2 linked regions of the Arabidopsis thaliana genome follow. The protein of the gene in region 2 interacts with the protein of the main gene of each other region in a pairwise test. Each region holds a gene or a part of one and is shown on either strand. Other genes may lie near its edges. The genes, in order: PYL4 and C2.

Evidence for each region.
Region 1: the proteins of C2 (region 2) and PYL4 interact in a protein complementation assay, tested with the Arabidopsis thaliana proteins (one study listed by BioGRID).

What each region holds. Positions count from the first base shown.
Region 1 is NC_003071.7:16,047,745-16,051,673, forward strand, and holds PYL4 (PYR1-like 4), read left to right. Parts: upstream 1-2,173; 5' UTR 2,174-2,506; coding exon 2,507-3,130; 3' UTR 3,131-3,612; downstream 3,613-3,929. UniProt on the Arabidopsis thaliana protein: Receptor for abscisic acid (ABA) required for ABA-mediated responses such as stomatal closure and germination inhibition. Inhibits the activity of group-A protein phosphatases type 2C (PP2Cs) when activated by ABA. Can be activated by both (-)-ABA and (+)-ABA.
Region 2 is NC_003074.8:6,150,130-6,154,058, reverse strand, and holds C2 (Calcium-dependent lipid-binding (CaLB domain) family protein), read right to left. Parts: upstream 1,998-3,929; 5' UTR 1,788-1,997; intron 1,711-1,787; 5' UTR 1,643-1,710; coding exon 1,496-1,642; intron 1,412-1,495; coding exon 1,316-1,411; intron 1,235-1,315; coding exon 944-1,234; 3' UTR 245-943; downstream 1-244. Other genes in the region: TOC64-III (translocon at the outer membrane of chloroplasts 64-III), read right to left, coding at 2,265-2,344, 2,420-2,489, 2,591-2,642, 2,729-2,856, 2,958-3,158, 3,302-3,436, 3,541-3,709, 3,789-3,929. UniProt on the Arabidopsis thaliana protein: Mediates the transient calcium-dependent interaction of PYR/PYL/RCAR abscisic acid (ABA) receptors with the plasma membrane and thus regulates ABA sensitivity. Stimulates the GTPase/ATPase activities of YchF1, and regulates its subcellular localization.

The sequences.
Region 1 (3,929 bases), on a different chromosome or scaffold from region 2:
ATACAATACTGTTTTCCAGTTGTATATATCTACTATAGATTCGGGTACATGCCATCCAATAAAACTTCGTTGCAGAATTAAATGGAGATTATGAGTTCATGAGATTAAACTATAGGCTTAAGTTCATATTTTCCAGTTAGTAAATAAAATTCTGCTAGCCAAACAAAAAAAGTTGTTCCCTACCAAAAAAAACAAAAAAAGTTGTTGAGGAGAGGAAATTGTAAGCTTTGATGAAGTAGAAAAAAGAAGAACTTTGTCATTCCCCCCACGTGTAAAGAGACTTGCCATCGATCCTTCACAAGCTTCTCGTCACCACTCCTTTCTTCTTTACACTTAATTTCCATCTTCCTTCTGCTTCTACACGTCCACATGCAATTTTGCACCGAGAATCCTAATTTGTGTCCTTCATTTTAAAGGTTTAAAAAGCATGTTTATAAAAACATGGAACTGGATGGTTTGTGAGATATGCCATCAAATTAGACAAAAGGGTCCATTAAGCCTGTGAAAAAAAAAGAAAAAAAAAACTAAGAGACGATCATAAGAGTTAGGTGTGACCTGACAAGATTCTTGTACACCCGAACCCGACTTGTGAACTGTGAAGTCAACCTCTAATTAACAGTTATTTTTTATTCCTACAAATACGGATCCAACATTATTCTCAATTAGTTGAAGTAATGTCTGTCTATTTGCACATTTTCAAACCCATAATCAAACAAAAGTTACATATCCTGACCCGCTGACCATATTATACACTCATCTGTGTATATCTCAAATCTCACTTGCAGGTAATTCTCTCTAGTACTTTTATGTAGATATATAGATATTAGTAGAATGTTAGCAAGAAAAGATGTAAAACATATATATCAACTATATTAGAACCCGTCCTTTGTGCGAGTTTTTGATTTTTATGATAATTTTAAGTTAACAAAAACTGAATTAATTTTGCTTTATATATTAAGATGTGTGTGAAGCTCAATACACAATATTAATCTATTCTTATCAAAAAAATTTATATTCAAAATTTACAGCAATTATAAAGAACTAATAGCATTGTATTATGACTTATCATTAAGATGGGGTTTGTGTCCATGTCCGGAGTTGTTAAAGGTTTGAAAACCCAGAGTTATGAATGTAAAGAAACAAGACAGAATGCTTGAAAACAGAGCATCAAGTAAATGTTTTGTGTTTATATTATTATGCAGCTAAAATGGAACCGGTGACGGCATTCCAACTTGGCCAATGGATGTCTAGACTCGCTATATTCTTCAAGGCAGACGACACATTCTTCCCCAACCTCGAAATTGAATTCCTCGACGGCAACAAAAATATATCTTCGAACGTTTTGTTGTGTCTGATCAGCCAACTCCACATCTTTAGGTAAACTCTAATATCCTAGAGAATAATAGAAATCTATAATACTAGTTACAATGTAGAAGAAGAGACAACCTATAACGAAGCTAGATACTATAGCCAACGTAACCAAACCAAACAACAAAAGTATGTTGTGATAGACCAGTTTTTCTTTCCAAAATACGGCCCAATTAAAAGTTTGGTTCTAAAAACAATTTGGGCCTTAGTTTGTATAGTTTAAAATGTGTTTCTTAGTGAGGATTGGTTTTTCATGCCCTTTTGTTTGTGTGCTCCTTTTTTTGTATATTGAAGATCATATCAAAGCAAAAGCAATACAATACTTTTCATTCAAAAAGTTCCTCCTTCTGCTTGTTCATCAAATCTCTCAGGTAATTAAATATATGGTTGTACCACTTTTAGTTTTGTGGTATTCGGCTCTGATGTTGAATACTTCAAATATCTAGATTTGCATCTGATGCAATTGAAAACCTTTTTTTTTTTTGCAATTGAAAACTCATATATATAGTATGGCTAGATATATGCAATTGAAAACTCATATATCTAGCCATACTATGAAATAACAATTGAAGAACTTCTAAGTTGAAAGAATTCTCACTTTGTATGTTTTGATGAATTTGATCTTACATTCCAATCGTTCCAAATATCGAAACTCTTAAAGCGTATTCAATCAAACGAATCTCGTCCTAGATATACCTTGGTCATTTCAAGAAGAAGAGAAAAAAGTTATGGTCAAGAAACTAAAAGTCTAAACCCATATTATAATTCTAGTGTTGATATACGAGAATTATATATTGGTCACTTGCCCAATTAAAAATATCGTGTATAGAAAACAGTCAAGTCAACAACTATAGCAAGGGGCAAAACCGTAATTTCACAACAAGCAACTTGCTCGGTTTTTTCGTTATCACCACTCACATGAACTCTGCATTAAAAACTCTATCTCTCTCAAATCGAAAGGCACAGCCCAACTTTTCGCAAGTCGCTGTAAAGTTTGATTTGCTTCTTTTTATATACACACATACTTCTCCTCCATACACTTTCCTCTTCAATCCTCAGTTTTTTTTCTAAGCCCTAATACCATCTCAAAGAAGAGATCAAGATTTGAAATCAAGAAGACACCATTACTCAGATCAACATGCTTGCCGTTCACCGTCCTTCTTCCGCCGTATCAGACGGAGATTCCGTTCAGATTCCGATGATGATCGCGTCGTTTCAAAAACGTTTTCCTTCTCTCTCACGCGACTCCACGGCCGCTCGTTTTCACACACACGAGGTTGGTCCTAATCAGTGTTGCTCCGCCGTTATTCAAGAGATCTCCGCTCCAATCTCCACCGTTTGGTCCGTCGTACGCCGCTTTGATAACCCACAAGCTTACAAACACTTTCTCAAAAGCTGTAGCGTCATCGGCGGAGACGGCGATAACGTTGGTAGCCTCCGTCAAGTCCACGTCGTCTCTGGTCTCCCCGCCGCTAGCTCCACCGAGAGACTCGATATCCTCGACGACGAACGCCACGTCATCAGCTTCAGCGTTGTTGGTGGTGACCACCGGCTCTCTAACTACCGATCCGTAACGACCCTTCACCCTTCTCCGATCTCCGGGACCGTCGTTGTCGAGTCTTACGTCGTTGATGTTCCTCCAGGCAACACAAAGGAAGAGACTTGTGACTTCGTTGACGTTATCGTACGATGCAATCTTCAATCTCTTGCGAAAATAGCCGAGAATACTGCGGCTGAGAGCAAGAAGAAGATGTCTCTGTGATGAGTCTTTGTCGTTGTCGGGTAGTTTCGTTAGATCCGACGTCGTTTTCTAGATTTTTAGCCGTCGTGTGATCTATGTTTTTTCGGCTTATGTGTGAAAAAAAAGTTACATTAGTGAATTAATCTCTCATGCATATCATAATCCTTCTTTTAATTTTTGTATTTTACATATCCCATAAAGAACCGATTTGGATAGCCCTATTCCGGCTTTCACCACCCAAAGATAATAATATTCAAACTGAAAGAATGTGGTTGTGTTGTCCGCTAATTAAAAGTGTGATTTTCAAGTTTAATTAATCTTGTTTTTCTATAGTTTCATCAGAAAAAGCGTAAATGAAATGGTACAATATGATGTTCGACTCGGATGTATATTAACTCGTTACATTGAGTTGTTGGCCATCTAATGTGTGTAGATAAATTTACGTACGTATAAACAGCTTTTGTGAAATTCGACGATTTTTCTTAAAGGCAACTTTAAATTTGGGCATAATATAATGTGTTCCTTTCCTCTATGATTTAACTAGGTCCTCAAACTTTTTACTTTCTTATTATTTCATAATAATTAAAATAACCGATTGAGCGTGAAGTTGTTATTTAAAAATCAAACATTTGATAGAGAATTCAAGATTTGAAGTTTTTATTTGTCATCATAAACTATTTGGTAGAAAATAGGGAGTAGTTGGGGATTTTCAGGCTTAAAGGTAATTGCGTAAAATGGACAAAACATACATGTATACAAAAATATGAACATGGCCGTCAAAATATAAAAAATAAAAAACGAACATGTTGATGAATTTAAA
Region 2 (3,929 bases):
GTTGACTACTTTGGGGAGTTGGTGGAAGAGGAATCTCTAGATCGCTCATTGGGGAACGAGATTTGGGTCCCTTGGGATCTATCAAACTTTATACATAATTTAGAATATATCTCAATACTATCATACTACAGTCGAATCTTTTACTTTATTAAATAGAGAAAAATATCACATACTAGTACTACACTTCACTCTTGTCACGGTCGTTTGACACATTATTGTAAAGTCGCCGTGCCACTCATAGTAAAGGACAATTATGGCTCACGTGTTTTGTCGTTATAAAACCATGGTGCTTCACTCATTAGTGTACATCTGGATTCTCTTCACCTACCATCCCTTTTGTGGCTTCTGGCTTTTTCCCTTCGATATTTTATTCTTTCTTCATCATTATTCTTTATGACCTTAATTAGCGCTAATGTACAAGTAAATCTTGTTCACAAAAATTACATAAGTTGTGCTTCAGTAACGTACACATAAAACCTCCAATGTCAATGGTTTAAAAAAGGCCTATCGATGTCGATGGTAAATGGTAATATGCTGGTCTTTTTTTCACTTTTTACCTATAAACATTAGTACATCACATGTGTTAAAACAATCTACCATTCATAAGTATATGGAACGATAATTAAATAAATAAAATATCTGTATTAGTTGTTCGTGTAAATGCCTTATTTAAGGCATAGCTAGCCCAAATATACATACACATCAACAATACACCACATTTACATATCCACCACCACGACTCGACTTGGACTCGATCACCATATGGGAACAAAACTTCCCTCAACGTTCTTAATCCTTATATTTCCATGGATTAATACGTGTTTCTAGTTCACTATATCCTTCAAGATTGAAATTACTTGTTTTTTTCCATGCTGTTACTTGGTTTAGTTCAATTTGAAAGAAAACAACTCAAAGTAACGGTAAATAAGAAAAGAAAAAAGATTCATAGACCCTTGGAGCCAGGGAGGTCAATCCATTGAAGCTGAGCCTCGACCTCTCCGCATTCCACATGTCGCAATCTGAGAACGAGATCCTGGACGAGCTTGCCGTCGACCCAGGTGACACGTGACTCCTCGGCTAGACAGTTACGACGACTTGGCTTAACCGTGGTCACAATGGTTCCACTAGGAAGTCCATCGAGTTGCATCCTCAAAGCCTCAATATAGGGCTTTATCTCGAACTCAGCATCGCCCATCTTGTCGTCTTTGCTAAACATGTCGTGATCATACACCGTCTACATATAACATTATAGTTTTATCAATATAAACATCTTATGATAAGGAAATTAATGTATGTTTTAGTAAGTAAAAAGTACCAAGAGGACGGTAAGATTGGAGTCTGTGACGGAGAGAGTCAAATCTTCATTCCATTCTGGATTAACATCTTTGTTAATGACACGAGTCTTCAATTTCTGTAAGATTTAATATGATAATTTGAGAATGTTTTTGATGTAATGAAATTGCATGTGAAGTTGTAAAATGATGAATGGATTAACCTGTTTGCCCATCTTGACGACGACGTAAGGATCGCTGCTACTGATGTCACGGACGGCTAAATTGACGCCACGTTTGATACGGATTCTAAGGAGGCCCAAGAGATCGTCCATTAGTGAGCTTGTCCTCGCCGGACACGCCGTTGTCATTTCCTTTATTAATGTTCCTGATTATTTCTTCCTTACTCACTTTCTACAACCCTTTTTTTTTGTTAACGCTGCAACCAACACACGTTTAATTCTCGGGGAAAAGCACAACCGAGATAAAGAAAAAAGGTTAAACGAACCAACTCACCCGTGAAGATAATTCAAAGGTCTCTTTAGTTTCTTTCGTCAGATTTCGTTCCGTTCAAACTATCATCGCTAAATATTAGGGCAGGTCTCTTTGGTTTCTACTCCTCTTTTTTTCTGTTTATTTTTTTTGAGTCGTGGGGAGGAGATAACGTGCGAGAAAAGAAAATGATAAAGACAAGATAGTTAAAGACATGACCTTATTTTTGACGCTACGCTGACTAGAAGTCGACCGGGAATGCCGGTATCCGGTGTTTAAGATTAACATTACTTTTTGATATCCAATTTTAGAGAACGTTTAAAATAAACATCGGATATTATAATTTTCCATTCTCGGCGGACTTGCAAAAGGTATCTCTAGATAAAATGCCTAAATATCAGACGCAAAAGACAAGTGTTGACAAAATTGGCCTATACTCTTGGACAAATTCTAAGGAACAAACGTTTTCTCAATGATCGGTGAGGTACGGACAAAAGAAGCTCACTGGAATTTTCTCAGTCTCTCTGCTGAGAGAGACGCTCGTTTGTTGTTTGGTTCCAGCACAAGTGCGTATCTGAAATCTGCAGAGTTTATGTTATATTCTGCCAGATTCTACAAGGCGAAAAAACAATCAGATTATGTTCTTTAAAGCTTACCTTCTATGGCTCCCTTGCAATCGCCTAACATTTCTCTTGCGGTTCCTCTTCGTAAATAGGCTTTAACATTCTGAAAGAAATCAAAAACGATCTTTGTGTTGTGTGTTCTTACAAAGTAAAGAGTGTTTTTTTTTCAAGAGAAACCTGTTTCTGTGTTTTAATGAAAGTTACCTTCTTGTCGAGGGTGATGGCTTTGGTACAGTCTTCTTCGGCTTGAAGAAAGCTGTATGTAAATGATTTGTCAAGGCAATGCCACATAGAAAGATTTGCTCACTAAAAAGTATTTTTAAGGATCTGAGAAACATTTACCCTCCAAGTTCAAGATATGCAGCAGCTCTGTTACTGTAATAGGTAGCATTGTTGTCACTTAGCTTTATAGCTTCTGAGTATAGACCAATAGCTTTCTGCCATAGTTTCTCTTTGAACGCTTGGTTACCCTGGTTTACATAATCACGGGACACAAAGATATAATAACCACATTAGATTATGGATGATAATGCCATTAAGAAAATGAGACATGCAATGGATATTAATTGACCTTCTCTTTGGCAATCTCGGCTGACTCTTCTTTGGTGATAGCCTTTTTAGAAGATTTGGGATCGGTAACAATACTCGAGTACTCTTGCAAAGATGGATACATTGTCTGCACTGTATCTAGTAAAAAGCGGTCACCACCGTGTCTTCCTATGAAAGAAACTGAAATAGGGCATTTCTCATGATGTCCGAGTGGCACAGTCACCTGAATCATCAGCACGATAAATGTAAGACACATATACTGTGGATTGGTTTTGCTAACACTGACTGGTCAGTGGTTGCTTTTAACATGTGTGAGGGGAACTTTACTAGCATGGCAGGTGAGAGAGAGAAAGAGAGAGATTTAACCTGACAACATCCTGATATGCTAGCAATGCTAAGCAGACTTGAAGCTCGGTTTTGATAGTCTTCAGATGTTATCTCCTTGCTACCAAGTTTTGGAGGAACAGCTGGCAATGTTGGAATTACCAGAATGCCATCATCCTTGATACATAACGTTACAGAGTTGGGAACCATTAGAGATTAGTCAAGAGACATATAAACTAACTCGCTCAAGTTGTGGACATGTCATGGAAGAGCAGGAATACCTTGAGAAGTGAACCAATAGCCACTCGAGTCTCGTTTCTGATAGCATTCAGGTTCTCAGTCTCTTCATTGGTTAGTTCTGGGTTCTCACACACTTGTGATAAAATCACAGGATCAATGGCTGGCTTCACTGTGTTGATCCAATCCCCATGATTTTGAAGGAACTCGTGCCTACAATGCCAATATTGTTATAGAGTGTTCAAAACTAAGATATTTTCATCCTCTGTAGGTGAATAAACAATAGGCACACCTTTGAAGGAGCTGCATCACATTCGCCAGTAGTCTCGATGTTGAGACCTTCGTGTTAGCAATGGCTTTTGTCCTAGCGAACTCTTTCAAGCTAGGAACTTTAGTTTCAAAATAGGTCTCCAAGTTCTGATGCTTTAGCAAT